4 linked regions of the Notamacropus eugenii genome follow. The protein of the gene in region 1 purifies or fractionates together with the protein of each later gene. This does not show direct contact. Links are inferred from orthologs where the notes say so. Each region holds a gene or a part of one and is shown in the gene's direction. Other genes may lie near its edges. The genes, in order: SNRPB2, PHF5A, GEMIN5 and RBM17.

Region 1 (8,275 bases):
ACCTTTCTAACAATGATCAGATACCATAATAGGTCATCAGAAAAATCACTTTGTTTTTAGTTCATTCACATCAGCCCCAGGGCTGAAGCTGCAAAAGAACCTGTAGTGAGTTCTCCCAGGAAGAGCAAAGACTGCTATAGCCATCAATTTTTTCCATGATATTTTGCTCCCTAGATTCTCTCAAGAGATTAGCATCTTATTTTTCCGAGTCTCCTAAGGGGATGGTATTTCCAAGATGTTACTTTGGCGGGCTTCAGTAGCAGACAAGCAATACAATACAGAACACTTAATCTAAACCACCTGACAGTATCGAACAATCCCAATTTCAGTTCTTTTCACACCTTTCGCACTGCTTTAGATAAGCAATCAGTTTCCTCAAACCAGACAATATTGCTGCCTACCTTAATGGAACACATAGATTATTCCAGTCTGTCTCAAACTATAGCTCTCCTGAAGAGGTGTATCCTCCTGGTGTATGTGAAGGTTGGGCCAGGATTGTATATACTTCACACATCAGAGGCAAAAATCTGTTTTTATTTCTTTTTTTTCTCCGAAGCACTTAACCACAAAGAGAAAAACAGATTTTAGTGAAATGGATGGGAACAATAGTCTCGTTTTTGCTTTCAAAGTTTTTTCTAGGTTTCATTGAGTCCATAGCCAATGTAATTCCAACAATTCACGAAAAGATAAAACTTTGTTTTATATGGTGATTTGGTGCCCAACAATCATGTTTTGATTTGTTTAATGTTTGTTGTAAAAAATAATTTCACTGTACATAAATTTCTTATTGTAATCGCTATTTGGGGGGAAGGAGGCATAAACAAACTGCATGTTCCACATTTTGTTGCTTTATGTTATATAAATAAACCAAAATATTTATCCACCTCTGCTTTATGATGCATTCCCCTTTTAAACATTACCCTTTCTCCAAACTACCACAGCAAGATATTGGACATATTTAATAAGGCCAATAAAACAAGTGCAGATAAGCCAGAAAATGTATGTGGGTCTGGGAGTCACAAAGATCTTCATCAGTTCTCCTCCTTATAATTCAAGCTCCATAGCAGTTTCATTTCCAACTGTTTGTAGTAATATTTCTGTCACCCCCAAAAGAAGCAAGCTTTATCATGATCAACTATATGAAGCTTGGCTTGGCTAGAATATAATAATACTGCCTCTAGGTTTGGCTCAATAAAAGAAAAACAAATAACCTGTCAAGGGAAGGTAAATCATAACTTCTTAACTGAAATCAAAGAAGCCAAGATTTGGAAGAGACTTTAGAGGTCACTTACAAGGCTGTGAACAAGATTTTCCTCCTAGAACTCACCTAGTAAATAGTCATCCAGCATTTCCCCCAGGGGAGGGGTGAGGATAACTTTTACAGGATGAATATGGTTAATGCTATTTAGATAATACTACCACTGCAACAGAAGAGTACTTACTCTAAACCAGTTTCCCCTCCTGGGTTACTGCCTTGTCATGGCAGAGGGGCTTGTATACCTCAATGAAACTTTTGAGCTACACCATACCGGGTTACTTAAGATGGATAGGTCATAGTGGAGAGTTCTGACAAAAGGTGATCCAAGGGAAAAGGAAATGGCAAACCACTTCAAGTATCTCTGCCAAGAAAACCCCATGTACAATAGTGCAGGACAGAAGGGCCTGGCATGCTCTGGTCCACCAGGTCATTAAGAGTCAGATACAACTAAATGATTAACAACAAAACTAATTTACTGTGCTACTGCTCTGGGTGGCCTTTTTATTGCCTTGTGTAGCACTAGGACCCCCTTCATTTTTCATGGTGTAATTGGCCTATGGAGTTAGGCCTGTGAAAGTAGGATTAGGTGATGGACAAGGGCCTAGTATGGGTCTAGATCTATTTATTATTTATTATATAGTAAAACCACCAATGCAGCCCTCACTGGGGGAGATTCTTTGTTAAATAGGAAAAGGATTTGAAATAAATGTAGTGTATCATTTCTTTCTGCTTATATGTTGAGTTAATAGATTTCTTTGCAGAAGATTAGAACCATAACATTGGACCTAGAGATAGGGACCAGCTGTGATTTTACTGATACAGGCTATTGCAATCCTCTAGGCCAGTGGAATATGGGAGCTTCCCAAGCTGACTAAAGATGACCTTTAAGAACTAAATTGGCACACAGTAGGTGTTCAGTTCATCCTACTTACTCACTTTTTTTCCCCCAGATATCTGGGTCACAGGCTCTTGCTCTTTCTGCCCTGTTAAAATCAAACAGATCCAAACAGCTGGACCTGATTAAACTGAGAAGTTTATATGGGATATATATAAACCTGGAAAGAGAGACATTGAAAACAATTTGGTTGATGGAAGGTTAAAATATGGTCCTGTTTAAAGGATAGAAATCAGAGACAGGAAGATCTCCAGATTCCATTTAGTCCAAACCATATCTAAACAAGAATTCCTTCTACAAAATAACCAATGATGATTGATCACCCAGCTGTTGCTTGGAGATTTCCAGAGAAAATGAACTCACTACCTCCTGAGGTAAGTAGCCTATTTAACTTTTGTATAGCTTTAGTTCAGAAGTTTTTCCTTACATCAAGCCTTCATCTGCCCTGCCTCTTACACCTACTGTTTCTAATTCTGCTGTCTGATGCCAAACTAGAAATGTCTGTCTGTCTTTCACAACAGCCTTTGAAATACTTAAAAGTTGCTCTCATGTCTCCTGTTTTCTCTTCTTTGAATTAACCATTCCTAGTTTCTTGAACTGATGTTCACGTGGCATGATTTCAAGGATCTTTTACCATTCTCTTTGTTTCCCTTGTGGATATTCTCCAGTTTATCAATGTCCTTCCTAAAATGTGGCACCCATAACTGAACTTACATGAGGTTTGACCAGGAAGAGTAGAATGGGATTATCACTTCCCTAGTCCTAGACACTATGCCTCTCTTAATGTAGCTTAAGATGATACTATCTTACTTGGCTCCTATATTACATTGTTGACTCATCTTGATTTTGCTGTGTACTAAAATTTCCAGATTTTTATCATGTGAACTGCTATGTAGCCAGGCTTTCTCCATTTTATACTTGTGAAGCTGTCTCTTTGAACCCAAATGTAAAACCTTATGCAGCACCAAAGCGGGAAAGCTTGGAGGTACACCTAGCATTAAGCTACTTCCCTTCTATGGGACTCAGTTTCATCATCTGTAAAGTAAGGGAGTTGGATTCTATCATCTAAATCTTGAGATCCTATGAACATTAATGAATCCGATTAGAAATATAACAAGAGTTGTATCTATGCCTCACTTAATAAACTGAGAACTTCACCCATAAAGTTGAGAAGATGTATACTCTTCTTAGAAAGAGCCAAAGAGCTGGAGGAATGTAGGGGGAGGAAGAAAAGACTATATAGTAGCAAAAGGGATGGATTAGTGCTAGAAGTAAATATTGAGAGTTCAAGGGTAGGGAGATAAGAAAAGGGAGGAAGTGGCATTCAGATATTGGTCTTAACTCCATTTTTTTACTCCATAAGCTGTCAGGACCTAAATAGCACCCATTGGAGGTACAGAGGAATCATTGGTTGAATCCAAAGTATGGAGGAGCTTCATTGGGGGATTTATAAAGTACTTTGCAAATTTCAAAACTGGATCTAAATGCTAGCTATTATTCCCCCATTAGAATATATGCTCCTTGAGGGCAAAAGGCTCCTTGCCTTTCTTTATATCCCCAGGTTTAAGGAATATAGTAATTATTTAATCAACACTCTTTGATCAACTGGTTTGAGCCCCAGATTACACTCTTTTCCTGTGTTCACATAATTAAGGTCCTTTGTGAAATATATGACAGGTTCCAGGAGGAAACTGAGGTTTCCTATTGGGCTCCCAGGTTCAATGGATAAAAAATTTGAAGCTAGGGGAATTTTAGAGGTCATCTCCTCCTACCCATTTATTTTACCGTTAAGGATCTAAGACCCTGCTAGATTAAGTGATTTGCCCAAAACTGCAAAGGAAGTAAGTGGGCAGAGCTGGGATTAGAACTCGGATCCTCTGATTCCAGACAGAGCATTCCTTGTATCATCCCACTCATTAGACTAACAGGGGAAGTCAGGAAGAGTTAAGTCTGGAGAACAGAAAGTTGTTCTCTGAGGATCATAGAAAGTTTGGCAGTTTTCCCAAGTTCCCTCTGGTGCTGGGTAGAGTATACAACTGCCAGGCTGCATCTGAGATTTCCCAATGGGTGTTTACTTTGGTGAAGAGGTTCAGAGGATTAGCAGTGAGTGTCTCAGAATCAGATCTGTGGCCCAGAAACCTGAGTCCTAAGTTTACACAAACTGAGGCCAATCTTGGCCCTATTCAAGAAATATCACTGACTCCTTGGCTTCCGTTGGCCCTCCACCTCCAGGATCTCAGTATCATTTTTGTCCAGGTAACTACAAATGTGAGTGGAAAAGATTCCCCCACATCAAGTACAATGATAATAGCTAACTTTTATACAGAGCTTCAGTTTTTAAGAACACTTTTCACGCATTCTCTCGTTTGAGCCTTGAAGCCACCCGGTGATATAGGTGATGTAATATCCCCAGGGCACAGGGTTGGAGCTCAGGGCTTTTCAACATCAAGGCCAAGCTTTTTACCCATCAGTATTTCCCAGGTGGGAAAGTGTCTGGGGCAGGACCTAAACTCGGGTCTGGGTTCAAGTCTACATCTTACCCACTGAACTACCTAGCTGCTTCTGTCAACGTTCATCCTCAACTGGGAATAGAGCCTATCCTTCCTTTAAGTCCCAACTAAAATCCAGTGGTTCCCAACCCCTCTTAATTCAAGCGCCTTCTCTCTATCAATTATTTATTAATTAAAATAATTACTCATTGACTCTCTAAGTAGCTTTCTTTGTACGTGTTTGTTTGCCTACTGTCTCCCCGTTGGACCGTGACCTCCTTGAGGGCCCCTTTTAGTGCCCTCAGCAGTGCCTGGCCCCCAGGAGGCACTGGAGGGTTATTGATCGATAATAGTGAGGACGGCACACGCAAGTCCTCAAACGCCTTCCTAACAATTCGGACACGGGTTAGCCCACAAACACAGACAGGAACCACTGCCCCCCACGCACAGCCCAGATACGCAGGCCCTCTCTGAGGGGTCCCGACTCTCCGCGGCCCCCTGGGGGCTTTCCTGGCAGGGCTACCGGGGGGGTTTGGCCATCTCCTTCCCCGGCTCGTTTACTGGCGAGGACACGGGGGCCAATGGAGTTCAGTGACTTGTGCAGGGTCACACGGAGGCCAGCCTGGGAACGCTGCAGTCTCCCGGACCCGCTGCGCCACCCAGCTACCCCCGTTTTCTCTCCCATTTCCCCAACGCCGCTCTCCTACCCTTCCACTGGGACCCTGAGCGCAGGCGCTGCGCGGACTATACAGCCCGAGGCCTCTCGGGGAATCGACACACTCGGCGCTCGCCCTCTCCACGAGCCGGGCGCCCGGCTCTCGGCGCTCGGTATTTAATTGAGGTGCCTGTCTCTCCAGGTACTCCGTTTCCGGCCGTTCTCATTTCTCTTCCGGTGTTTCGGCGCGGAGCGAGCACTGAGAGAGGCAACTGAAGCCTTTAGGTAGGACCTCGAGGTGCGTGACGGAGTTGCCTCTTTTGTCTATGCTTTCTCTCTCACTGCCGGGGGCAGGCGCAGTTTCCCTGGGGATTGTCCTCTCCCCCTCTCTCCTGGCTCGGCCTCGCCCGCGTGGGGTCCGAGCGGGGAAAGCCCGCGGGCTCCGCGGCCGGGGATGGGAAGGAGAGGAGGCCGCCTTGGGACTGGCGGGGGCGGGGCCCTCCCGGGGCCTCCTCGCTCCGGACGCCCGCAGTTTAGCCAGGCAGCCCAAAATCGTTGAGCCCCTCCCGGGTGCGGGGCACGGTGCTCCCTGAGCCCTCTTGATACACAAAGAGGCCGAGACGGGCCCTGTCCGGCGTCCGGTGGGGAATTGGGCCGACAGACCGGCTGTGGACCGGATCCACGGAAAATGGGTCATACGGAGGCACCGGCCGTCGGGAAACCTACGGTGTGCCAGGCGCTGTGCCAAGCGCTACAGGGAAAGGCTTCCTGTAGAGGAGGAGGCGTAGGCTGGGACTTAAGGGGAGCTAGGAGCCAAAGACATCGTTCAGGCAGTAAATATGAAGGCCCTGCTGTGTGTCAAGCGGTGCGCTGAATGCCGGGCGTGCAGGAGGCGGGAGACGAGAGCTGGGGCTCTGGAGAGCTTACAGTATGGTGGGGGAGACACACACACACACACACACACACGTGTATATATACAGAATAAACCGTAACAGAGAAGACACTAGCATTAATAATGATAGCAGCTAACGCTTATGTAGCGCTTACTGTGTGCCAGGCAGGGGGTACAAACCCAAGACAGAAGCACGCCCCTGGCCCCAAGGAGCTTACATTCTGCTAGAAGAAACAACTGCATAGAAATATGTGCGGTGCAGACTGTATGCAGGAAATACAGGAAATAATGAGCAGAGGGAAGGCGCTGGCCTTGTGAGAGGTTAGGGGAGATGAAGAGGGAAGGAGTTCAGGCGTGGGGCACAGCCAGAGAATATGCCAGTTAAACCCAGAGGTTTGCCAGCTTCTTGGTTATAGCCCCAGCCGCAGAGACCTGGGGAGCAGGGGCCCGAGCTGAGGAGCACTAGAGGAGGGCGTCTTGTTGAGAGCCATTTAGTGACCTGGTACCCAGTCATGTGTATTTGGAGGGGGAAGGATCCTTCTTTGGGTGGGGAGAGAGTGATCCAAAAAGTAACTATGTGATATCTACCTTTCAGAAGCTGAGTTTTAAATTCACCAATTCTGGGCATGAGAGGAAATGACCCTACTTTATTTGAGTAAGCTCCTAGAGGTGGAGGAGTTTTCCACTTCTAGCTTCAGTCTATAAGGTTTCTTTGAAGAACTTTGGGACATAGGAGATATGGACCACTGAACATGGCATGTTGGCATCAAAGAAGGCTTTGTGCTGTATGAGCAAAGCGGAATCGAAGTAGCCCAGAAGAAATGCAAGATGCTCATTTTCAGAGAATCCATCCCAAATGTCCTGTTTATGCAGACCAAACTCCTCTTGGTCTGATCACAGTAGTACCAATGTAGTGATGTCATTTTGGGCCTCAAGATGAAGGACAACAACCAGCCAACTCAGACACCTAGTATAGTTACTTTGTTTATAATAGGAGCTTAGTAAGTGCTGGTTGATTCATTGATTTAGAAAATCAGGTGAGGTAAAATACATTAGAAAGAAATAGAGATGAATGCTTCACCAGTTTAAACTGCTGATCAGAGAATTTTTAAAATGAATTTTTTTTTATTTCTAGGCTTCTCTGAAATTTAATCCAAAACATGGATATCAGGCCAAATCATACAATTTATATCAACAATATGAATGATAAAATCAAAAAAGAAGGTATGTTTTTGTGTATCTGTTTGGCTCCTAGTGTTAGGTTATATATCTGGTTGGTTGATAGGAAATTGGCTACAAAATATAAACTCTGCATTGAATAAATTTTTATTTTTTCATATGTACCAAGTACAATGACCTCTTTTCAAAAAGTACTTTTTTTGTGTTAGAATTTGTAAACCAAGTTTACTTGTACTCTTTATGCTTTTTTCTTGTTATTCCTTAATGAGAGTTAATACTTTGATATGAGCAAAATTAACGATATTCTCTCAAACTTTTCCCATATAATCATACATTTTAAATAGCACTGATCTTGGATGTAGACAGCAAACACTACAAAAGGTTTCTTTAAACTATCTTTCCCCTCCTTTACCTCAGTTGTTTATTCCTGTGCTTGAAGTATTAGTTTAAGTCATTTGTCTATTTTATGTTACTTTCACTTAGGAATGTATGGTTACCCTTCTCACCTATTCAGTGATTCATTGTAGGTAACAAAGATTATAAAACAAAAGAGGGGTAAATAACAGTTTATTAAAACGAGACACTTCAGTCATACATGACAGTATATGGATTATTCCACACCCATAGAACCTCACCTCTGCAAAGAGAGGTGGGAGGTGCATCAAATCTGATTTTAACAATTTAAGACTAACTACAGATTGAATTTCAAGGACAGCTTGCCTCCTGCTGTTGCTATTTGAAGCTTGTAAGTGGAGAGACTGAATTTACTCTATCTTATAAAATCTTTATACTGTCTAGTCAATTATAATGGCTCTTTTCTCAGTGGGAGAGTCTTAATTGGCAGTGTAGCCAAAAAAATGAGCAAAAACTCAAAAACAAAATTAAACCTTCATAACTTAAATTCTTC
Region 2 (8,306 bases), on another chromosome or scaffold:
CCAAGACAACCCAACTCTGCAGGGGCAGGGTTTTCTACACGGAATTTTACTGAGAACCTAATAGTAAAGCAGCATTTATTCAGCGTGGGTAGAGAACTGAGAAGAAGATAGCTAAAACACGGTTCTCTCCTGACCTCCTGGAGCTGACAGCAGGGAAGGGGAACTTCCAACATCACCCCCATGCTCTCCCCAAATACATACACACAACTATAAAACATAATAACATGTGATACGGGCAAGAAAGAGGCTGGGGGGGCCCCTCAGAGAAAGCATCTTGGAGGGGGCAGAATCTGAGGTGGGTTTTCAAAGATGGGCAGAGAGGAGCCACTTGTGCAAAGAGCTGGGGGCAGGAAAGCACAGGGTGCACTGAGATGGTGGTTGGGGCTCATAAGCAGTTCGGGGGGGAAGGGGGGCCACCAAGAATGCTGGGATCTGTGGGGGCACACAAAGAGCAGCCTGTAGCTGTGGTGAGGAGTGGGGCGGCTCCTAAGACTTTAAACATGGGCTAATGATAGCATGTGCTGTGGTAGGGCCCCGGCTGGTACATGCCAGCTCAGCCTCTGCCTCCCCAGCCGGCATGCCCTGTGGTAGGCAGGGTGTGGAGGGCCACAAATGAGGCCCACGGCCCACAGGTTCGGATTTCTTTCCATGTATCAGTTAGCCTTTTCTTCTTTTCGTTTTGTCATGTGGGATTGCTCTCTGGGAGGGAGAGGGATACGGAGGGAAAAACAAAAAACATCAAGGAAACCGTATTTAAATAGGAAAAGGGGAGAGGGGCAGGGCATGGATATTTCTAGAAATAACTGTGATAGACAGAAAAGCTCCATCTGAACCGGAAGTCTAGCCCAATGCCAGACACAGCAGGCGGCTGTCATGGAAAAAGGATTGAGGAGTGCTCCTTCTCTCAGTGAGGGAAACAGGAGACCTACCTAGGACCTCCTTCTCTGACCTTTAAAAAAGATGAAGGTCAATGTTGGGAAAAGGGGGCTCTGGGATGTCACTTATTAATCATTCTTTATATCTGAATAGCCTGTTACCACTAACAAGGTGCATCCACACACTTAAAGGGCATCTCAAATGCTACTTCCTCTTCCCCCTCCCCCTCCGGTCTTCCCTGACATCCCCCCTCCCCCCACCTCTCTGTCCAGTAACTCCTTACTGCTATCTCCATTGGCTCCTTCCTCTCTATCAGACAGGACCTGTCCTCCGAGGAGCTCCCAACCCCCCCAGCCCAGAACACAGCTCAGGTCCTCTGATTTGGCTCCAAGGGGTCCTGGGCCAGGGAGGGAAATGGAGAGGCGGGGAGCAGACATTCTCCACAGCCGCTAAGGAGGCCTGACTTGTGGAATGAGCAGCTCCAAGAAAATGATGATCTTCCCAAGCCACGAAGTCATTCTGCTGTGAGTCTAGAACCAAAAGTGCTTCCCTTGCATCGAAGCCAGAAGGGACTCCTAAAGAAAGAACACCAGGCAGCTACTCTGGATGCCACTAAACTGTGCCAGTCTTTAGATAACACTACTAGAGATCCAAGAAAGAAGAACATCTCAAATGCTCATCATATACAGAAATACTGATAGCAGCTCTTTTGGTAGTGGCAAAGCATTAGAAACCAAAGGAGTACCCATCCACCAGGGAACTGCTGAACAAGTCATGGCCTAAGGATGTGATGGAGTACCACTGGGCTGTAAGAAGTGATGAAGCGGATAGTTTCAAAGAAGCCTGAGAAGGCTTTCATGAACTGATGCAGAAGAAAGCAAGCGGAGGCTCTGAGAGCCTCGGGACTCCTATCAATGGAGTGACCAGGGATGACTCCTGAGGACTTGCAGGCACAGGCTGGGGCCTAGTGGGCGCTGACGTGCAGGCGCAGACGCCTTTTGTAGGGGACCATCGCCAATGCAGGAGTTTGTTTTGCTTGACTAGACAAGTTGGGGACGGGGGTTGGAAGGAAGGTAGAAAATAAAGTTCAAAGAAAAAACAGAAACAAAGGCAGGAGCAATATTTGACCTTTTATAATCATGTTCTAGTAAGCTACAAGCACACGACGAATCAAGCCAGCACTCACATTATGTGGGAGTAGCTATTATTCAGTTTTTCCAGGTGCCACAATTGAGTGCAGGTATTTGCCCAAAGTCACACGCTAAGTCAGTGTTGGAGACAAGTCTGGAACACAAGGTTCCTGATCTCTAGCTTGTTTCCAACATGGACGGAACACCAAGATAATAGTATCACAAGGTGTCATCATAAAACCATAAAATATTCCAGTTGGAAGATGCCTTAGAGATCTAGTCTAACCCCCTGAGGGCCAAAGAGGTTACATGGCTGCTGCCAAGATACAATGGGGCAGGACTCTAATCTTTCCATTGTACTATCTGGGCCCACAGATAGGGGCAAGATCTGCCTTAGAGTGGCTGGGAAAGCATTGGGGGGGGGTCCCCACTCTCTTCCCAAAGTAGGACCTTCTTTCTCACTGGAGATCCAAGAATGTATCCCCGGTGTACATATGTAATGACTGGACAGGGAGGAAGGAAGATGATCCAAAACCAAAATTTGGAATCTCTTGAGTTGGAAGGAATCTGAGAGGAAAAGCTCGTTTTGTGACACTATCCATAAGGTCTCGCCTAACCCTCACCATACACCAGGCAAAGACAAAACAAATCACCAGTTCCAGCGTTCAGAAAAAGACATAAGTCTTTATAAAGCAATGCACTCTTGCCAAGTGAATCGGTCTTTCATCAGGGAACACTTGTCACAAAGTCACTGACTAAGTAAGAGATGGGATGAGACTGGCTCCTCCAGAAAAGAAGAGATCAGGGAGAGGTACCAAGTCTGCTGGTAAACTGGAGACCTGAAAGTATGATGTGCTCATGCCCATCCACCAGCACTGGGCCCCCCTGGCCTCAGACCACAGGTCCAGGGCTCTGGCAAAGCTTTGGATTCCTTCTCCAGTCTTTGCCATCCCATTTTTCTCACTCATTTCTCTACTGTGATTGCTGCAGTCAGTGCTGTCAAACACCCTCCTGCAACTTAGACAGGCCTCATCTGCATGCCTTGGAAAGGGCTGAGAATCCAACCTTTGAGGATGCACTTGGGTGTAAGCAAAGTTACCACCATCTTGATGCAGGTAAAGGAACATGCCAGAATCCCAGAGGCTGCCACAGGCCAGGAAGAATGAGGCAGTGAGTGCCACAATAAACACCTCAGGTTTCCACAAGTCTAGGCCGCACTCAAAGGTACATGGGCTCATGCCATCTGTACCAAAACCTTGTGAGGCAGGCAGGGCCCAAAGGCCCAAGGGAGCACCTGCTGACCACCTGGGTCTCAGAATCCTTCGTCTCCTTCGTCACTTTCAGTACCCTCTTCACCACAAACCTGCCAAGCACTTCTTACTACACAGACCTTTTTACGTTTGTCCTTCCCCTTCCCACAGCCCATAGACACCATGCTTCTTGACAGCAGACGTTTAATTTGCCTTCATGATCCAGTGCCTGCCACAGAGGTTATTTAAACTGATGGATGTCACACCAACTCTCTAGGAAGAGCAAGGGCAACGCAGACTGTTGTCAGAGACTCAGAACTTTCCTCTTCACCCCGAGACAGACGCAGCAGTACAAGGAGCCTTGTCTGCGTTGGGCCAGCTAATAAGCAGCTAGGACTCAAGTCTTCTGACCCCAAGTCCGGGACTCTTCTCATTACATCCCGTGGTCCCACCGACTACGAATGGTTGAGAATGAGAATGGGCAGGGGTGTTCCTAGCTTCCAAGCCCCATAATTCTGACCTTTCTTGTATCATGCCATGGCAGAATCAAGAAGAAATGATCAGTTTTTTCCCTCCCACAGGATCAGTCTGTTCAGGCCTGGAATTATTTGAGAAGTCAGAAGCATTTTAAAAGGAAAAGCTCTTCCCAAGCGTGGCTCTATGAGGCAAGAAAACTGCATCCACTGGAGCAGAGTCTGCCGGAGCCCACGGTCTGAGCCTCGGGCCTGGGGGCCTTCAGACCGCCTGAGAGCAAACCCCAGGGCCCCACATTCTCTCCATCAGCGAACGCTAACAGGGCAGCTGCGGATGCTTCAGAGCCTCCTTCTCCTGCGGGGCCCGGCCCCTGTCCTCAGGTGTGGGACGAGGGAGGGGGCTCGGGCCTCTGCTGCGCCGGCGGGGGTCCTGGCTGGCTGGCTGCCCCCTCCTCCGCCCCACGGGAAGGGATCACAGCCGGCTCGGAGGGGGCGCGGTGCTTCGTGGAGAACGGAGTCCGAGTGGGCACCTGGTCCCCACGGGGGAGGGGGGAACGGAAGCGGCGGACACCCCCATCTCGCGTCTACTCTTGGCCCACGGACGCGCCCCGAGGGGAGGCAGGGCCTGGCCCTCGGGGGCACCGATCCCTCCGACCCCTGCCCCGGTCGAGGGCGGCTTGGCCGAAGGCCTCAGTTTCCCATCCGTGCCCAGGGGGCAGGAAGGCGACCAGAGCCCGTGACCTTGGGCGCACGCAGGCCGCCGCCCGGTCACCTTGTCCTCACCTTGAGGCCGCGGGCGGCACCGGCTCCGCCGAGCCCCGACAGCCAGACAGGAGCAGGAGGAGCCGCCCCAACCCCGGGCGCGACCCCGCCCGGCCCTGTCTTGGGCTCCGCGGAGCCCGGGCTGGGATGCCCTCCCTGACCTCGGGCGCCGCGCCCTGCCGGCCCGGCCCAGCCAGCCCGCCCACCTGCCTGTCCTGCCGGCCCGGGGTGAGGCCCTGCCCGCTCGCCCTCCCCCTCTCGCCCGTTGCCCCCCAGGCCGCCGCACGCTAGCCCACCCGCCTACTGGCAGGCGCTCACCTGCAGCCGGGCCACCAGCAGGTTATACGGCGCCATTTTGTGCACTGACAAAGATGTGGTCGCGTGAAAATGACGCGCGCGCCGAGGCCTTTAAAGGCTCCGGGGGCGGGCCTGGGCGCGAGGCGGGGGCGTGGCCTGCCTCGGAACCGCCCACAAGGGTTGTGGGCGGAGCCTGAAGAGAAGCAGAGGAGAGAGGGCTCTGGGGTCCCAGGCGCCGGGGGCGGGGCCTCCTGAATAGGGGTGGGGGTGGGCAAGGCAGAGAAACAGCACCGGGCGAGCCTAAGGCCATCGCTGTCCCTGGTGGTAGCCCGGTCAGAGACGGACGGAGGAGCGCCCAGAGGGCGCTCAATCTCATCACACCCCTGAAGGCTGCGGGAGGGGGAGGGGACTTGAGTGGAGGAGAGGCCTTGATTGGCGGGGAGGCGGAGACTGAAGGTCAGAGGTCGAGCGGAAGCAGCGGCTGCATCCGGCGACCGGCCCAAGGCTAGGCGATGGCCAAACATCACCCGGATTTGATCTTCTGTCGCAAGCAGGCCGGTGTCGGTGAGTCGGGATTTACCCGTCTCGAGCCCTGGGGCATCTCTGCGGTGGGAGCTAGGTCTTGGGGTACTCTTCCTCTTCTGCCTGTGAGATGTCGCCTTTTCCCGCCCCAAATCGATGGAGGGAAGGGTAGGCGGCGCGTGACAGTTTGGATAGAACGGGAGCTGGGGGGCCTTGCGCGTGGCTCGGTTGGAGCAGGGCGCCTGCGCGTTGGGCCCGGGGGTGTTGGCCGGAATGGCCGCATCTGGGGCGCCTGCGCACTGCGGGGGGCGGGGGGAGGAGGGGGCGGGGTCCTCGGCGGGGGCTGGCTTGGAACTGCCGCGTGTAAGCCTCGGGAGGCAGAAGCGCCCGGACCAGCGGCGGGCACGTGGTAGGACCTCAGTAAGTGCTAGTGACTGAGCCCCAGGCCCCGCCTTCCCCGGGTGGGTCGATAGTATTCCGCGTATGTGAATTGTTAAGCCCTAAGTCTGCTCACAACTCTTACCCTGTGGCGCTTTTGTTTCTTCTAGCCATCGGGAGGCTGTGTGAAAAATGTGAGTATGAACCCCCGGCACCCCCTCGGGTGGGATGCACCTCCCGAGGGCGAGGGGCACTTGGTCGGGCGGTGCTGTTGCCTGCCTGTTTGGAGCCATTTTCTTGCCTTCAGTAAGTGTTTGTTAATAAGAAAAAAGGAATCCGAACAATTCTTAATGTGTCTGAGCAGGGCCACCTCAGTTAGACACCTGACAGTGGGGGCTCTGGGAGGAATTTTAAAAGGCCTTAAGGAATTTGGCACATTTATAAAAAAAGGCAGGTGTTACAACATGGCAATGCTCCAGGGCTTTGTTGGGGGTGGGGCAAGGGGAGAACGTCCCAGACAGGACTCGGATGATCCAGTTGGCTTCTCTTGTGGAAGAAATACTTAGGGAGTATCCAAGTGGTGCATCCACTGTGGATCTGATAGAAGAATCCGGTGTCGCTTTATCCACAGGACAGAAGTGACTGGAGTTGAAGCAGTGGGTGTTTGCAGGTGAACTTCACAGTGTCTTGTTGTTGCAGGTGATGGCAAGTGTGTGATCTGTGACTCCTACGTCCGTCCATGCACATTGGTCCGGATATGTGACGAGTGTAACTATGGCTCATACCAGGGCCGCTGCGTGATCTGTGGGGGCCCAGGAGTGTCGGACGCCTATTACTGCAAGGAGTGCACCATCCAGGAGAAAGACGTGAGTGCGCTGATGCTGCTCATCTGTCACTTAGTAGTGCCTAGCAGTCCCTATCAGAGGCTCCCAGGGTGCCTCTGACACTCTGGACTTCCTTGTTTCCTTTGGTAGAGACCAGTCTCTCCAAATCCTGGGAGCTCTTTGCACCAGCTGCCAAAGCAGAAAACACATAATGAAAACATTGATAACCTTGGCCTCATGTTTTGGAGAGTGCTGCTTTTATTCACTGACTGAGCATGTGCACCCTCCCTTAGTGGGCAGGTCACTTTGCACACGGCTGCAGTGAACAGTTGTTGATTTTGAGGAGGATGTCTGCCAAGCTGGCTGTTACTTGGGAAGTCTCTTCCTCTTGGCATTTTTGCTCACCTTGCCCCCAGCCACACTTGCTGCCCAGATGTGGACCAGGGCCAAAGGCAGGTTTTTTACCTTTAAGTGCCTACGTGGGACCTGCTAAGCACTGGGGGGGATATAAAGGTTAGAAAAGACAAGGCCTCTCCCCAAATAGAGCTCCAAAGTTAGGGGATGCACAGGTAACTATAATGTACAACATTAAAATACAAAGACTTTGGAAAGTCACAAGAAAAAGGGCTGTGGGAAGTCCCAAAGGAAAGGTGATCATCCGTCAGGGAGCTCAGTGAAGGCTTGACCTTTCCCAGTATTTGTGTGACAGACCCCTGCCCCCAAAACCATTTTCTGCCAGTAAATCTCATAGTTTACTTACTTTTTGTGACAGTAAATAAAAGAAGGTATATGTGCGGTTTCCTCTACCAGAGATCCCCTGGCGAGACATGGCAGTGTCAGCAGGGCATCAGGAACCTCTCTGCTGGCATGTCTGAGTTCACACCTTGTTAGGGGGCAGTGTACAGCAGAAGGCCAACCTCTGCTCGGTGTCTGTGGCTCAGGCTCCTTCCAGCTGTTTGGAGCCAAAAGGTGAAAAGCACTTGACTAGGTTAGAGAATATTTCTCGTGGAATTACTGGGAAGGGGAAGGGTCGCTGACGCCTACAAACCTAATTTTGGTCCGTTATTTCTCCCTTCTCCCCACAGTCAGCTTTCTCCCTCATCCATCCCTCTTAATCGTGTGTGGTGCTGTTAGCACCCACATTGCCCTTCAGCACATTTGACTGTGCTGGGTTAGCTAAGCTAACTGAGAATCAGGACCTTCAACTACCGGGGATCCCCTACAGTGCCTATAAATGCAGACTCGCCCCAGCCAACCATCTTTTGGTCAAGATGTATCATGAATACATTGTACCATGTCACCATAATAGAAAATCCCACTGAGATGGTGCCAAATGACTCCAGCTTTCCCATAGACACCCCCCACCCCAAAACATTTGTGGATAAGTCAGATTCTAGGGTTCTGGGTTCTTATTGCTTTTATATTCTGGACTTGCCCACCCTACACCCCGAGAGGATTCTCCTGGATTATGACACTGTGCCTGTGGACCTTGTTGCACACTCCTTGGTTTCCCCATTATAGTTAAGTAATGACATTAGGTGGGGTTGCCTTCAGGGAGCAGCTCAGAAAATGCTTGGGATTGCTTGACTCTGCTCATCATACTTGGTTAACAAGCAGTGAACCAAGACAATCCTCAGATTTCATGAGTTGTACCTGGAAGCTTGGAGAAGGACTCAGCCTTGGCCTGCGCAGTCTCTTCCGTCTTGGCTGTGTCAGCCTCCTCATCCAGCCCCTTCCATCATCCTTGCTTTCCTTCTCCACCTTCACTAAACCAAGCTTCCTTCCCCTCATGGA
Region 3 (7,630 bases), about 210 Mb from region 1:
AAAGAAAAATAGTTCCTGCTCTCTAGCAGCCTGCATTTACTGAGCAGCGATCTCACATGTATACCAGTGACAAGTACAAAGTCATTTGAGGAGGAAACATCAAAGACTGAAGTAATCAAGTATGACCAGTCTGGAAGGACTTCAAGGATTCTGACAGGCAAACGAAGAAGGAATGCACCCCAGATGTATGGAGGGCTCCCACTGTCCTTGCCTACCAAGCAAACCCGAACGCAACTTTTCACTAACGTGACCTATTGTTACAAAGGTCTCTTCTACTAAAGCCAAACACATCCCTTTCCCTCTTTAAGAGCTTTTCTTAAAATCACTGATTCCAGACAAAGCCACTCCCAGTTCCAATCACTCTAGCTCCTAGACTTCCATTCTCTTCCAGTGCTTGTGATCACTACTGAAGTGGAAAGCCACCAGACTGGCCCCAGTAATTCGGGCAGTGGGCCGCGATGGCCCCTAAGGTCCTTCTAGGTCCGATACTCTAAATTCTAAGGCCCTTGTCAGCTCTTACACCCTACGTTCTACGTTCCTAGAAGCCCCCAGGGGACAGTCCAGGAGGTTATTTCGTCGGGGGGGGGGGGGGGGTTATAACCCCGCCCCCAGGCGCTTCAGTGAAGTCTGCTGATTGGTCTGCGGAGAGCCGAGCTGGCGAGGTGGGGTCGAGGCTCCGGGTAGCCCTACCGCCCCACGTTCTAAGACCGCTTCAGCCTCGGACATCCCAGGTTCCCTCCAGCTTTCTTCCTCTCGGGCCGACTCACCCCGCAGAACACGCCCCGCGGCTCCTCAGACTCCTCAGCCAAGACGAACCTGCAAAAGAAACAGAACCCGTCACCTTAGGCCGGCTCTGGGTCCAAGTGCTGGTTCAACTCCCGGCTTCAAGGCCGATTACTAACCTAAGTCTCTCAGCATGACAGCCGCCATCTTTCCGCTTCGCTCTACGGTAGTCGCGAAGGGTCAAGCTCCGCGGCTGGCAGAGCGCATGCGCCAAGATTTTTTTTTTTTTTTCTCCCCCCGTCACCCCCCCACCCCGTGTAGGGGAGGGGGAAGCTCCCACGTGGTCTGCAGATAACCCTAGCTCTGGGTCGTAAAAAAGTACCTGGCGTGCTTTCAGGAGGCACACTGGTGACAAGATAAAGCGCTCCAGAAATACCGGTATTTGCACTTAAAAATCGAATTCCTCTTTCCGTCCCCAATAGATTGTGGAGACGGATAGATCGTTGCACCTAGAATCAGGAAAACCCTAATTCGAATAAGACAGCCTCAATTACCTCATTTGTAAAACACAAACCGATAAATATTAAGTGCCAACTATATGCCAGTCACTGGACTAAAGGCTGGGGAGACGATTAGTAAAATGAAAAGCATTTCCTGTCTTCAATGAGCTTACAACCTAAAGGGGGAGACCCCCCAAAAGGAGACAGAAAAGGATTAGAGGAGAGGGGTGACGCCACCTGGGGGCCCGGGCCCAGGGGCGTCTTCTTCTATGGAGGTGAAACCAAGAAAGGGAGCAGATGCAAAGAGGAAAGAGTCCAGTGAAAAGGCGGTGATAATAATACCGACTTCCCCGGACTGCGGTGATGATAAACGGAAATAATGTTTGTAAAATGCTTTTCAAACCTTAGAACAGGCATTAATGCTGTGCTATTTAGATGAAGACTGAGGCACCTGGATTCTGGAAACTCATCAACATTGAAGGATCATTGGCTCAGAAAGTCCTTCAATCACTGGAAGTAAGACCTCAAGGCAAGAGACACAGAAAGTCAGACAAACTTTTAAACTGGCCCTCATTTCTTTTTTGTCTAATAGGCCATTGTGGTCCTCATCTGAACTAAAATTTATGCCTCTGTGGATCTCTTGTGCATGTGACAAACATAAGCTATCAATGAGTCATCTCCATTGCTGATGGGGTATAGGCTCACTTCCACATCACAGATCATTTCCAGGCTCTAATCCATTTTAAGATTTGGTTCTGGTCTGGACTCATGATTTAAATCACTCATACAAGTTAGCAGCCATTAATAACTTAGTCTGAAAATTACTGGGAGTGATGAGAAAATTGACTTTTCCACAGTTGCCCATTTTACCTCCTGGGCAGCTAGATGCTGAAGTGAACAGAGTAAGAGACCTGGAGTCAGGAAGTCCAGAATTCAAATTCAGACACTTAATAGCTATGTTACCCCGGGCATGTCATATAGACCCGGTTTGTCTCAGTTTCCCCATCTGTAAAATGGAGATAATAATAACACTTACCTCCCAGGGTGGTTGTGAGAATCATCTGAGATAATAATGGTAAATGGTACATAGTAAGAGCTATAAAGATATTGGCTAGTCCTGTATACTGAGCTGCAAAGTTTTGATTTCCCTATTTCTTTTGGGATCTTAAGTATGCCTTGTACACATGAACTTTGTAATGATGATAGATATGTTGGAGCTTCCTTCTTTACAGGGCAGCAGGATAATGGAGGAGCCCAAGACTGCTTGACATACTGGTGATCATTTGCAAGTGAGTTGTAGACAAACTTGGAGTTGCCTGAAATAGCTTGACCAGCCTTGAACTACTCAAAACCTGGCTCATTGTGTCTACAGACTCCCCCACCCCCAAACCTTAGCCCACCACCACCACCTCTAGAAACCATACATATCTCATTTTCCATTCCCCTTTGAGCAGCTGAGAACTCTCCCCCTCTGCTCTGATTGTGCAAGCTCTACTGAGACAATAAACGCTTCTGTAACCTGTGATTGGCCTCTGTTTCATTTCTGGCCTTTGTTAATACCATCTATCCATATGCTTATATATGTGTATTAGCAGATGATGCATGGATGTTTTCCCCTCGGAAGTGGTTTGTGATTTCATTGTGTGGGGAACTTTCACTGATGCACCTCCCACCCACCCTATACACCTATCTCCGAGGGTTTTGTGAGGATAAACTGAGATAATGAATGTTAACTATGGATGTACACTAAGCTAAGGTAATTAGGCAGTGGAGTGGATGATGCCCTGGCTTTAGGAGTCAGGAAGGTGAATTCCAATCCAGCCTCTGTGTGACCCTGGACAAGTCATATAACCCTTTTTTCCTGTTTCCCCATCTGTAAAATTAGCATAAAAATTTTATCTACCTCCCACCCACCCTATACACCTGTCTCCCAGGGTTTTGTGAGGATAAACTGAGATAATGAATGTTAACTATGAATGTACACTAAGCTGGAGAGTCTGGGTTTCTCGATTTTTTTTGTTCACAACTATCCCTAAACCCCAATACCTAAGACTTCTATAAGCATGCCATCTGTGCTCTGACTACAAGGGGATATTTGTGCTACAGAAAAACGGAGAGACCACACCAAGGTGCTACAGGGTGGTGACTGAGCCCTGGGCAACCTTTTAATTAGTGCTGTGGGAGGTAAGAAAGGTTCACTTGGAGAGAGGCCTGGAAGGACTTATATGATCTGATGCTGAGTAAAAGGAGCAGAACCAGGAGTACTTTGTGCACAGCAACGACCACAGTGTGCGAGAGTTTTTTCTGCTAGACTTGGAATTTCATAATAACACAAGAACTTATTAAAAAAAAAATCCCAAGAAATATGGAAGTCATTCGCAGAATGTAGCAGATCATGTCTGTGTGTGTGTTTTTGCGTATCATGTTTTGATTTGTTATATGATTTCTTCCATTTATTTTAGTTCGACTACATTGCATGACTATAGTGAAAATGTATTCAATAGGAAAGTATATGTAGAACCTATACAGAATTGCATGCTGTCGTGGGGAGGGAGGGGGGTAGTGGGGGGTAGGTGTAGGGGGGATAAAATCTTAATTTTATGGCAGTGATTGTAAAACATTAAAAAATAATAATAATAAAATTAAATTAAAAAAAAAAGAAAACCTCAAAACCAAAAATAAAAAAAAAAGAAAAGAAAGGTTAACTCGGGGTGCCACTGGGCACAAAGGCCGAAGTCCTAGAGAATTAGAGTGAATTACTGATGCCTTACGGGAATAGCTTTGGAAGGAAAAAGTCCTCTCTCAAACCAAGAAGAACCGGACAACAAACAGGTAGGAAGCCTCCTCTTCTCCCCGCCCCCCCCCCGCCCCCCCTCCCCCCCCCCCCCACGAGAGGAGAACGCGTTCTCTGCGGCCTGACCCTCAGGGCGAACCGTAGGAGAAGGGGTAAGCCGGGCCTGGGCGGGGGGAAGCATGAAGGGGGCGGGGCTGGAGGAGCTTGCTCTCTTTTCTTTGCGACAGGAGCCGCAGAGCGACGCCGCCGGCCGGAGCTAACGGCCTGGGAGAGCGTGGTGTTCACGCCGCCGCCTTCCTCCTGCCAGGCCGCGCAGCCATGGGCCCCGAGCCGCGGATGCTTACGCCCTCCCCCAACTGGTACTGCTCCCGCTCCAGCGACGCCGGCCCGGGGGGGCTGTTCGGGTTCGCCGCGAGGACCTCGGTCTACCTGCTCCAGATCGGCCTGGGCCAGAGCCCCTTCCACGGTAACCGCCCCGGCCCGACCCGACCTGACCCTGCCTGCCCCCTGCGGCCCCAGGGGGGCGAGATCTACCGGCCGCCTGGCCTGGCCCCTACCCCCTGCCCCGGGGACTGCCGTGCGGCCGGGCTCCTGAACCCGAGGTCAGGAACTTGTGCCGCAGCTTTTTTGTACAATTATTTCAGTTTTCCTGCGTTCCTGTGTAATCCCATGTAATTCTGCGTGCCTTTTTATTTTGCATTGAAAAACACCCCGAAAAAGTGGTGCTTAGGCTTCATCAGGCGGCCACGGCCACGGTTTAAGAACCCCCTGATGGAAGTCAACCTAAGGACAAGTAGATAGAACGCAGCACCGGGAGTCAGGAAGGAGGAGCCGAATTCAAATCCTGCCTCCGACGCTTGTACGTTGTCCATACCCAGGACAGGTCACTTCCTCTCTCGGCTTCAGTTTCCTCGTTTGTAAAATGGTGGTAGCAGTAGCACCTACCTCTGAGGGTTGTTGTAAGGCTCGTGAGATACCATGTTAGATATCTTTATTGATGTTTATTATTTGAAGTTGAATGAATGAATGGCCAGTCAAGAGGCATTTGGTAAGCAGCTGATGAGGGAGAAACTCTTTACAAAGTAGCAATTCCTGCCCATGAGGAGGCGTCCATTGTAAAGGCATTCCAAAAGTCTGAGTGCATTTTTAAGACTTTTGCAACACCCTATATTGTTGAATGAAAAAATGAATCCGTCAAACACACAGTCAGCGAGGCATAGCAGGTAGAGTCCATGTATTTGAGATGAGAAAACCTGGGTGAAAACTCACCTCAGATTCCTAGTGAGCTGGCAAAGTCACCACAAGCACCTACCTAACCTCCTTGGCGGTTGTCAGTAACACAGTATAAAACATAATGACAAACTGTTATTACTAATTGATTTATTTCTGGTTATATTGACAATGGGGCCAAACCAGAAAGACAAGAAGGCACTCTTTACCAAGAGAGAAAATAATAGGGGGCCCTGAGGTTATGTGTACATATTATTATTTTATCATCATCAGTATCCATCCCAGTGAAGAGATACAATGAATCTGCTTGGGGTAACTGCTCCACCCTCTCCTTGTGCTTGCTGAAGGTCTGTAGTGTAGTGGAATAAGCCCTGAATTAAAACCTTGATTATTACTTCATCTTTGTGACCTTAGGCAAATCATTTAACCCATCTGAGCTTGAGTTTCCTCATCTGAAAAATAAGGATGCTGGACTTGATCACCTCTGAGGACCTTTTGTCCTTTCAATCTGAAATTTTAAGACAGCTTGAAGAAGAAAAAGTAACTACCAGCTGATGATTAGAAACTTAGAAAAGTAAATCTGAGGCCCACATACATATAATCTGGTTGATATGTCTCATATAAGGCATATCTTATATGACAAAGCTTCTCTCCAGTGAAGTTGCAAAATAGGGTGTTTAATCAAGGTTGCTCCGGATGTTCATTTTGGTCAATAGCAGTAATTCTTATATGGCATTTTAAACTGATATTTGTTTTTTCTTATAGTCCTAGGAGAGTTGGTAGGACACACAGAAAGGGTTTCTGGCTTCACATTTTCTCACCATGTGGGTCCAATCAACTTCTGTGCCAGTAGCTCTGATGATGGAACAGTGAAAATCTGGGATGTAGAAAATAGAACAGTTGTGACAGAACATACACTCCATCAGGTAATATAATCCAACACTGTTTTCTCAGTGTGACTTTTGCATAATGAAGATTTACAGTTCCTTTGAGGCCATAGTTCAAATCCTGTTTCTGACAATTAACTAGCTGTGTAAGACCATGGGTAAGTCACTTATTTGCTCTAAGCTTATTTCCTCATCTGTAAAATGGGGAATAAGAGTAATAGTAGTCACTATCACAGGTTTATTGTGAGGTTCAAATAAGAGAATACATGTAAGGCACTTACTAAATTTAAAGTATTATAGAAATGAAAGTCATATGTGCTTGTACTATCTCGTTTGTCTGTTCCCACTGACTTTCTTATCACATTACCATTAACTATTAATTGTGTTATGACCTCATTTTCTTTGCTCCAGGATTTTAGGAATTTGTTTTATCCTTTTAGAAATGACACCATATACCTCTTCAACTATAAGAAAAGGATTGCCTGAATCAGAGGTGTCAAATATGTGGCCCATAGGTCACATATAACCCACAACACTTCCAAGTGTATCCAAACCATATTAAAATGTAGTTCCTATCTAGTTTTAATGCACTGATGTAGTAAAAGATGCTGCCATAGGATTCTTCTTCCTTTAGAAGTACTTTTCCTTTTGAGAAAGCAAAGAAGGGAAGATGGGACCAATAAATTTTACTTAGCAGGCCCTTTGTGTGTAAAGTTATATGGAGAAAATATTTGAACAGTGGTTAAAATTGTTCCTTGGATTTTTCTGGCCAGTTTCTCTATCCCTTTATTTGTTCACTGTAACCTTTTCAGTTTCTTTTACCAAGTTATTTAGCTAATAAGCTTCAAAATTGTGGTTTTTTTCCTTTAAAGAATACCATATCAGCTTTGCATTGGTCACCTAAAGTAAAGGATCTGATTGTATCAGGGGATGAAAAGGGAATAGTCATTTGTTATTGGAATAACAGAAATGACAGCCAGCACTTCTTCCCAGAACCCAGGACGATCTTTTGCATTACTTGTTCACCTCATCATGAAGATTTAGTGGCCATTGGGTATGTACTGTTGCATTTTGGAGGAAGGGGGTAGGGAGAGTGGTAACTTGTTTTTATTTGGAATATTTGAAATATTTGCTTTGATTCTTTGTTAAGAGTGTTCTTTTTTTCAAGAATCTCAAAGATGTTTGAGGCAGTCCTCTGGTCCAACCTTTGGCCCCAGTCAATGAGTTCTTTCTACAGCATGCTGGAAGCATGATCATCTATCCTTGGCTTAACCTTTTTTTGTATCATAGACCTCTTTGACAGTCTGGTGAAACCTATGGACTCATTCTCAGAATTTTTTGAACACATTAAATAAAATATATAAGATTCCCGAAGAAGCCAATGATATTGAAATAAAATTTTTTAAAAAACAAATTTGTAGACTCTGGGTTAGGAAACAGGCTCTAGCAATAAGGAGCTTTCTGTTGCAGTATTGAAGAGTTTTAGCTATTAGAAA
Region 4 (7,350 bases), on another chromosome or scaffold:
CATGTCCAAAACAGAAACCATTAACCTTTTCCCAATCAACCCCTCTCCTAATTTCTACTAAAGGCACTACAACCAGTGGGTCAGTAAACATTTATTAAGTACCTACTATATTCTAGGTACTTTACTAAGCATTGGGGATACAAAGTAAGGCAAAAGACAGTTCTTCCTTTTCAGGTTCTTAGTCTAGTGGAAAAGACAACATGTAAACAGCCAGGTAAAAAAAAGATATGAACAAGATAAACTGATAACAGATTATGGAACATAATGAAAGACTTCTTCCAGAAGGGGAGATTTAGCAAGGACCTGAAGGAAGCTGAAGAAGGCAGTAGTTAGAGAACCCCAGGCATGTGAGATAGCCAATGAAAATGCCCAGAGTCCAGAGAAGCAGTAAGTTAGTTATTTAAAGGACACCAAGGGAGGTCAGTCACCCAGGTTCACAACTACTCTCCCACTCTCCCTCCCTATCTCCAATTCATGGAAAGGTCTTACTGAGTCTGCCTCTACCACATGTTAAGGGATGTTAAGGGGTCCCCTGAACTTGTCTTTTTGAGTTGCCATATTTTCCAGAAACAATGAACCCAGAGCATGCAGGAAACCCTAAACGTGTCAAGGATGAAGCTGACATAATTTGTCATTGCACTCCCAAGCTGGACTCCCTGTGTGTCCTTGAGAGGCAAAACAGGTGCCAGCAAGTCTGTGCCAGGCTAGGACAATGTTTGTGCAGCCAGGGTCCTTTGCAGATAAGCAGACCCTCCTGTCTTTCGTAGTCTAGCAATTCCCAAGGGAAAAGAATGTGGCTTTTGCCTTGGCCTGCTCCTCCCCCGCCTTGCTGCATGGGTCCCTTTCCCATGTCACACTCTTTTCTGGCATCCCCTCCTCCCTCTGTCCTACAATTATAAAAACGAAAACTTCTGTAATAATTGTGAACTTTTTGCTTCACATTCATTTCCACATTCCTTTTGTAATAAACCTAGTTTTCACCTAAGTTTTGTACAGGTGTGATTTCCTATTGGTGCATATCTCTGCATTCTATTACTATTTCTGTTCATACAACAACCACCCAAGTTCAAGCCTCATCACCTCTAGCCTTGGCTGACAATAAATAGCCTCTTCACTGGTTTCTTGCCCTTCAGTTTCTTACTGATCCAATCCATCCTCCACTTAGCTGAGAAACTGATATTCTTAAATCCCAGACCTACTCAGGTCTGGGCTCAGTTCAGGCTGAAGAAGCTCGGGTGGCTCCCTACTGTCCCTAGGAGGATAAGAAAACAAACGCCTCTGTCCAGCAAGTGAGGCCCTTCAAAATCTGGCTCAAACTTGTCTTTCCAGGCTGATTCCATCTTATTCCCCTTCACAGATTCTGTGTAATAGGATGTTCCGACTGCTGCTTCTGTGCCTTTGCAAAGACTTCCCCCACCACCACCCCATCCCATCCCCTTAAGTCTGTCCCTCTTCTTCCTTCAGACTCCACTCAAAAGCCACTTTTTACAAGAAGAGGCCTTTCCTGATTCTTCCAATTGTTAGTATCCCTCCACCTTGAGGTCACTTTGGGGTTTTTTGTATATTCATTTATCTGTAGTATACTCTTTTGTGCTCCTACCCCATCCCCCAGCTGTTGAAAGGCACAAACTGTTTCGGTTTTTGGTTTTTTGTTTTTGTCCACGTATCCCTATTACCTAACTCAGGTATGTTCAACTGCAGAAATTTAATAAGCAGCCCTTATGGAACTTCCATTCTTTGGGAAAAGTTGAGGGAGGGGGAGAGGGAGCAAGCAGGCAAGCAGGGGAATCCTTTTCTGTTTTGCCCCAACAGACTATGCCTAGGGGCTGACCTTAGGGGATAATAGTTCCTTTTCAATACAGAAAAACCATTTTTCTACTCCTTACCAAGTTACTATCTCACTATCAAAGCAGCTGTTCCAGACCTTTTCATCTTTCCTGCAGTCTTCCATGGTACCCTCTCTGCCCCACCCTTAACTCCACCCTCCAAGCTGACTATCCTATCTTTTACTGTCACTGAAAAATTTGAGACCATTTGCCAAGAGTTCCCCTTTCCCTCCTCCTGAGAAAAACTAGGACCGGACACTTGGTTTCTTTTTGAACAGACACCATCTGTCTTTTGAACATCACTTAACAGGATGTTTTCTAACTGGATGTTTAACTGGAGTCTGTGATCCCTCCTTCAATTCATCTTCCACTTAGTTGCCAAGATGCTTTTTTTCTACTCAAAAAATTCCAGTGGATCTCTACTGCCCCCTAGATTAAATACAAAATCCTCCTGTCTAGTCATTAAAGCTTTTTCCTAAACTGACCCCTTCCTGCTTTTCTATCCTTTTTAAACTTTATTCCCCTCCATCCTACTTGTTCCTGAACAGACCACTCCTTCTCCTGATGACTTTCCACTAGCCTGAAACACTTTCTCTCTTTGCTTGACCTCAGCTTTCCCGGCCTCTTCCAGAAGGCTGGTCCTCGCTGGTCTCTCCAGTCCCTAGCGCCTTCTGCTCTCGGATGGTCTGCCTGGTGAGTTACCCGGACTAGGAGCTCCGGGAGCCGAGGGCTGTTCTCGCCTTGGTTCGTCATCTCCAGCCTTCACCGCAGCGCCCGGCCCACAGCGAGCGCACATCTTGTCGATTTCCAGAGCCTGGATTGCCTACAAAGTGCAGAGCTCGGAACACTTACCAGTCCCCTCTTAGGGCTCGGGGTCCTCACCTGTACAAAGAAGACTCCTATTTGTGCTACCTGTCTCACAAGAATTCTGTGAACTTATAAGCCAGCTCGAACTAGTACTGTTACTGCAAGGCGTGAGTGAGTTGTTGTTCGTCCTGGGTTCTTGAAGAGGACCAGGGATATCAGGAGCGGGGCGTGACCTGGATTGAGGTGAGGGCCTCACTGTCCCCTCGGAGGTACCGTTGGCAGGACACAGGCTGGGCTGGCCCAGGGCGCAAGGGGGGACCTTGGCCTTTCTGGGTCCTTCCCAGGTCTCACTTGGTCTGAGGCAATGCCGGATCAGGAATGAAAGGCGAGGTAAGAATTGAGGCCGAAGATGGCCTAGCTTGCCTTCCCAAAAGGAGGGGAAGACCATAGCATAAGCCTTGGCCATGCTCTGAGCCATCAGAGCCCAAACAATGACCTAGAGGCGTGGGCGGGGACCTGTTATTGGCCAATCAGTGAGAGCCAGAGGGATGTGGTCAGCTGGCTCCAGCTGATCCCCAATGGACTTTATTCAAGCCTGGCTTTCCAGGGCTTTATTTCAAGAAACCATAAAAGAAAACTACACTGGGAAACAGGAGTTAATGGCAGGACAGCCAGAAGAAGGACAGGTTGGGGAGGCCCCGCCCCTTAGAAGGGGGAGGTAGAGGCTGGAGGAGCCGAGGCTCCGCCCCCACTCGTGGAGCTAGACTGTCTCCTCTCCGCCTCGCTCACACGGCGCCCCCTGCTGCCTGGAGGTTGATCCCGCAGCACAATTTCTCCCTCCTGCGGCACATCTGCAAAAAGAAACTGAAACGTGGCCTGATTTTGCTGCAGAGAATAAGCCACCTCCAGAAAAGAAGGCAGCCAAATGGAAGGAAAAATATGAAGCGGCTATCGCAGCAACCTAAACAATTAAAGGAAAACCTGAGACCAAAAGCTGTGGTCCCCAAAAAGCTGTTGTTTGTAGAAACAGAAAAGACGTGGGCACGACCAGTGACTGGCAGTGGGGGTTACTTTTCTTCCCTTCAGGCTGGAAATCAGCACCATCCTCCTCAAATGAGTCATCAGGACCAAAGTTCGAATCCTGCCTCAGACACTTACTAGGTGTTGGGATCCTAGGCAAGTTTCCTCATCTGGGAAATGGGGGTGTTGAACGACTTTAGCCCAAAGCCATCAGAGAAAGAAGGACCGAGGCCAGAGGGAGGGTAGCAGGAAAGGGGCCAGGTGCTGTCAAGTTTTACCTCTGGGATGGGATGGCCTGTTGAACGCTCACCTGCGCAACTGGGGGCAGAGCTCGCCCGAGGGTCCTTCCCCAAAGCTCAGAACCTAGGGCGAGGATGGGAAAGAGGCGAGAGTGAGGCGTGCTCCTGGCCTCCCACCGATAGATGTCGCCCCACAAGCAGACGCCTGCTCCTCCCGCCTAGCCCTGACGCGCGCTCTCCCCGCTACCGACCGCGAGCCGCCGCTTCCTCCACGCATTTGGCGCAGGGATTCGTACGGACCGCGGCCGTGGCGTCTCCTGACGCTTACGCCGTTCGCGTTAAAAAATCCTCCCGCCTGGCTTCCGGGGCCGCTCTGCCCTTACGCGGTTGGTGGAGCTGCGGAGCTTGCGCACTTCGGCTCGGCTGCCCCAGCCACCTCCTGCCCCGCTGCCGCTGCCGCTCCGGCCCATGGGGAAAGTCAGCCGGGCCCCCCGGGTGAGTAACCCCCTCCGGCCCCCCGCCCCGCGCACAGGCTCCCCGACCGGCCCCCTCCGCTCTTCCCCGAGGCCCATGCAGGCCTGGTCCGAGCGGGAACGCCGGCCCCCGGCCCCGGGGTCGGGCCGGCTCTAGGCCGCGCTGCGGAGGGGCCGAGGGAGACTGGCCGGCCCGCCTGGGGCCCAGACACCTGTCGTCTCCCTCCAGGTCTTTGCTGGGCCCTGCTCCCGGCCCTCTCTGATCCCCTTCCTTCCAAGGGTAAGGGGCGCTCCGCTCTTGGCGGCTTACCCCCCACCCCTTCCTGCTTTCACCCCCTGCCCGCTTCCCCTTCCCGCCGCTCCCCTCCCCTTCCTTCGAAGAGCGAGGAGTCTCCTGCTTTTAGTTTCTTTCTGGAATCCCCTCTTCCTACCCCCCAGCCCCTCCCTCGCTCTCCATGCCCCCCCCTCCTCCCTTGGCCCCTGCCTGCTGCCCACTCTTACTCCCTCCGTCCCTTCTTTCTCCCCCTCCCACCCCTTTCCTGCCCTCCCCCTGCTCCCCCCCTTCCTTTCTGCCACCCCCCTCAGTCCCACTTGTTGCAGCTCCCCCCCTCCTTTCCATCCCCTCTTCCTCCTCCCTCCCCCTTTCCCCCTTTCAGACCCTTCTTTTTAGAAGCAGCTCACAGCCCGGTGAAGAGGCCGTTGTGGAATTGGTGGGGTTAGCCCAAAGGCCTCATTTCGTGCTTCAGAAAACGAAGCCACTAGTGAAAAGGATTGGGTGCTGGGGGGAAATGAGGGGAATCTTAGACAAAGTGGCCACCCCATTTTAGCGTTTATGATAGATTAGGCCAGGAAAGCCGGGCCTAGTGGACTTGTTTTGGGAGAGTCGGTTTCAAAGTTTTCTGACAAAGCATGGATAGGGTGCCACAGACTCAAATTTTACCTGGAAAGCCTGCCTAGGAGCCATAAGAAGCAAGAAAGAATGAATTGTGAAAACCCCAAGAAATACTTCTGATGAGAAGGAAAGGAGAGACTTACTGTATGTGCAGAGAACTATGGGAGGGTTGGTGGAGCTTACAAGATTTGGGGGGGAAAGAGGTTCAAAGAAGTGCCTGGTGCTCAGTAAATGAAACGATGGCCACCCACAGAAAGGAGAGCTACCAGACTCTTTATTTTTTTTGCTTTCTCTACTAAGGAAAATGATCTTTGGATTGGAAAGGAAAACACAAAAATGGCCAATAGGGAGATGATCGAGCAGAGATAAATAGGAAAAAAGTTGCAGAACAGTTAGCTCACTTTGAGGATTTTGAGTTACAGGACTCCAAACAATTGCTTTCAGAGTACTGAAAGAATGGACTGATGTTCTTGCTTAGCAGCCACTCTGGGGTGATATCTTACAGTTCCAGGAGGATTCTGGAGTTCTACAAGATTTAAGAAGCCTACTATTTCAGGGACAGTAACGTGAGTTAGGAATACAGAAACATGGAGGGTCTTGTTTGAGAACCAGCAAGGAAGCCAGTGTCACTTCACTAGGTTATTTGGGGGGAGGGCAGGCTCAAGGTGGCTAGTAAGATATAAGAAGACAGGAAAGGTAGGAAGGGGCAAGGTTATGAAGGGCTTTAAAAACCACAAACAAAGGATTTTATGTTTTATCCTGATGGTAGTAGGGAGCCACTGAATTGAGGTGAATAGGGAGGTAACATAGCCAGGCCTGTACTTTAGGAAGATCACTTTGACAGCTGAGTAGAGGGTAGATTGAAATGTGAGGAAAGACATGAGTCCAGGAACCTAACCGCAGGCTATTGCAATAGTCCAGGTGTGAGGAGAGGAGGGTGTCAGTGTCAGGAGCAAAGGAGGCCTATTCCAGAGATGCTGGACAGGGCTTGACAACAGATTGACTATGGAGAGAGGTGGAGGGAAATGAGACTGAAGAATCTAAGATGACTCCTAGGGCTAGAACCTTAGGCCCTGGACTAAGAAAGGAAGAAGGTTCAGTGAAACATTAAATTTTCAGCCCAAAAGGTGGGGCCTGCAGACTGATGAAAATGTTTGGGAAAGCTCCTTTTATGATTGGGATAGTGACTCAACTAGGGAGATAAAAGAATTGCCTTGCTTCAGTGGGATTCCAGTTGAAATTATTTTACTAATTTGTAGTGGACTCAGCAGCCAGCAGCAGAGATTATTGGACCTAGGCTTTGTAGGAGAGAAGGGCAGAGATATTTATTAAGCACCTTGCTATGTGCCAAGTGATTTACAAATATCTCTTTTGATCAGCAGAGTGAAGGATGGTTTGGAGTCAAGAGTAATCTAGAGGCTGTTAGAATAATCGAGGCAAGAGGTGATGAGGGTCTAAACTGGGTGATGTCTGTATGAGTGTTGAAAAGGGGGAAAATATTTTAGCAGTAGAAAAAACAGTGAATAACTGACCAGACATATGAGGTGAATAAGAATGGAGAGGTGATGGTGACACCAAGGTTTTGAACTCAGATGACTGGAAAGGTGATCATGTCTTTGGAATAGGATTGAGTTTGGGAGGGAAAAATGAATTTGGACATGTTAAGTTTGAGGTGCCTTTAGTAAGGGGCTCGTAGGACATTCTGATTGTCCAGAGCGGGGAAGGGAATGAACTCTGCAAGTTATAAGCCCATGAGTTTAAATTTGATTCCTGATACAATTCTAGAACATGTTAAGAAGGATGGATGATTTCTCAATAAGGGAGAAGTAATCTCAAAAAGTCAGTGTGGTTTCTTCAAAAACATGTCATTCCAGACTAATTTTTTTTTAAAACAGTTGTTGTGTTGGTAGGTGAGGGAAATGCCATATCATGTGCATACATATGCACGCACACACACATATTCATCAAAGCATGTGACAGAAATCTCAGAAATGATAGTTCAGTGAGATGGATTTGTAACTCTGTGCCCAAATATCAGGAAGAATCAGCATCAGCCTGAAAGGGGCTTTCTCCAGTGGAGTGCCCTGTAGGGA

What was found.
Region 2: the proteins of SNRPB2 (region 1) and PHF5A purify together in Homo sapiens (affinity purification with mass spectrometry; 4 studies listed by BioGRID and IntAct, with this or other methods). This does not show direct contact. The link is inferred for Notamacropus eugenii from reciprocal best matches to the Homo sapiens genes SNRPB2 and PHF5A.
Region 3: the proteins of SNRPB2 (region 1) and GEMIN5 purify together in Homo sapiens (co-immunoprecipitation; 3 studies listed by BioGRID and IntAct, with this or other methods). This does not show direct contact. The link is inferred for Notamacropus eugenii from reciprocal best matches to the Homo sapiens genes SNRPB2 and GEMIN5.
Region 4: the proteins of SNRPB2 (region 1) and RBM17 purify together in Homo sapiens (affinity purification with mass spectrometry; 3 studies listed by BioGRID and IntAct, with this or other methods). This does not show direct contact. The link is inferred for Notamacropus eugenii from reciprocal best matches to the Homo sapiens genes SNRPB2 and RBM17.

Annotation. Positions count from the first base shown.
Region 1 is NC_092872.1:591,276,818-591,285,092, forward strand, and holds the start of SNRPB2 (U2 small nuclear ribonucleoprotein B''), read left to right. Parts: upstream 1-5,116; 5' UTR 5,117-5,582; exon of another isoform or gene 5,583-5,595; intron 5,596-7,324; 5' UTR 7,325-7,349; coding exon 7,350-7,413; intron 7,414-8,275. UniProt on the Homo sapiens protein: Involved in pre-mRNA splicing as component of the spliceosome. Associated with sn-RNP U2, where it contributes to the binding of stem loop IV of U2 snRNA.
Region 2 is NC_092874.1:300,548,776-300,557,081, reverse strand, and holds the start of PHF5A (PHD finger-like domain-containing protein 5A), read left to right. Parts: upstream 1-4,946; 5' UTR 4,947-5,300; coding exon 5,301-5,352; intron 5,353-5,858; coding exon 5,859-5,882; intron 5,883-6,387; coding exon 6,388-6,554; intron 6,555-8,306. Other genes in the region: ACO2 (aconitate hydratase, mitochondrial), read right to left, coding at 4,810-4,845.
Region 3 is NC_092872.1:383,300,332-383,307,961, reverse strand, and holds the start of GEMIN5 (gem-associated protein 5), read left to right. Parts: upstream 1-4,232; 5' UTR 4,233-4,335; coding exon 4,336-4,483; intron 4,484-6,012; coding exon 6,013-6,173; intron 6,174-7,006; coding exon 7,007-7,188; intron 7,189-7,630. Other genes in the region: MRPL22 (large ribosomal subunit protein uL22m), read right to left, coding at 768-816, 903-930. UniProt on the Homo sapiens protein: The SMN complex catalyzes the assembly of small nuclear ribonucleoproteins (snRNPs), the building blocks of the spliceosome, and thereby plays an important role in the splicing of cellular pre-mRNAs.
Region 4 is NC_092874.1:178,123,274-178,130,623, reverse strand, and holds the start of RBM17 (splicing factor 45), read left to right. Parts: upstream 1-4,125; 5' UTR 4,126-4,387; intron 4,388-7,350. UniProt on the Homo sapiens protein: Splice factor that binds to the single-stranded 3'AG at the exon/intron border and promotes its utilization in the second catalytic step. Involved in the regulation of alternative splicing and the utilization of cryptic splice sites.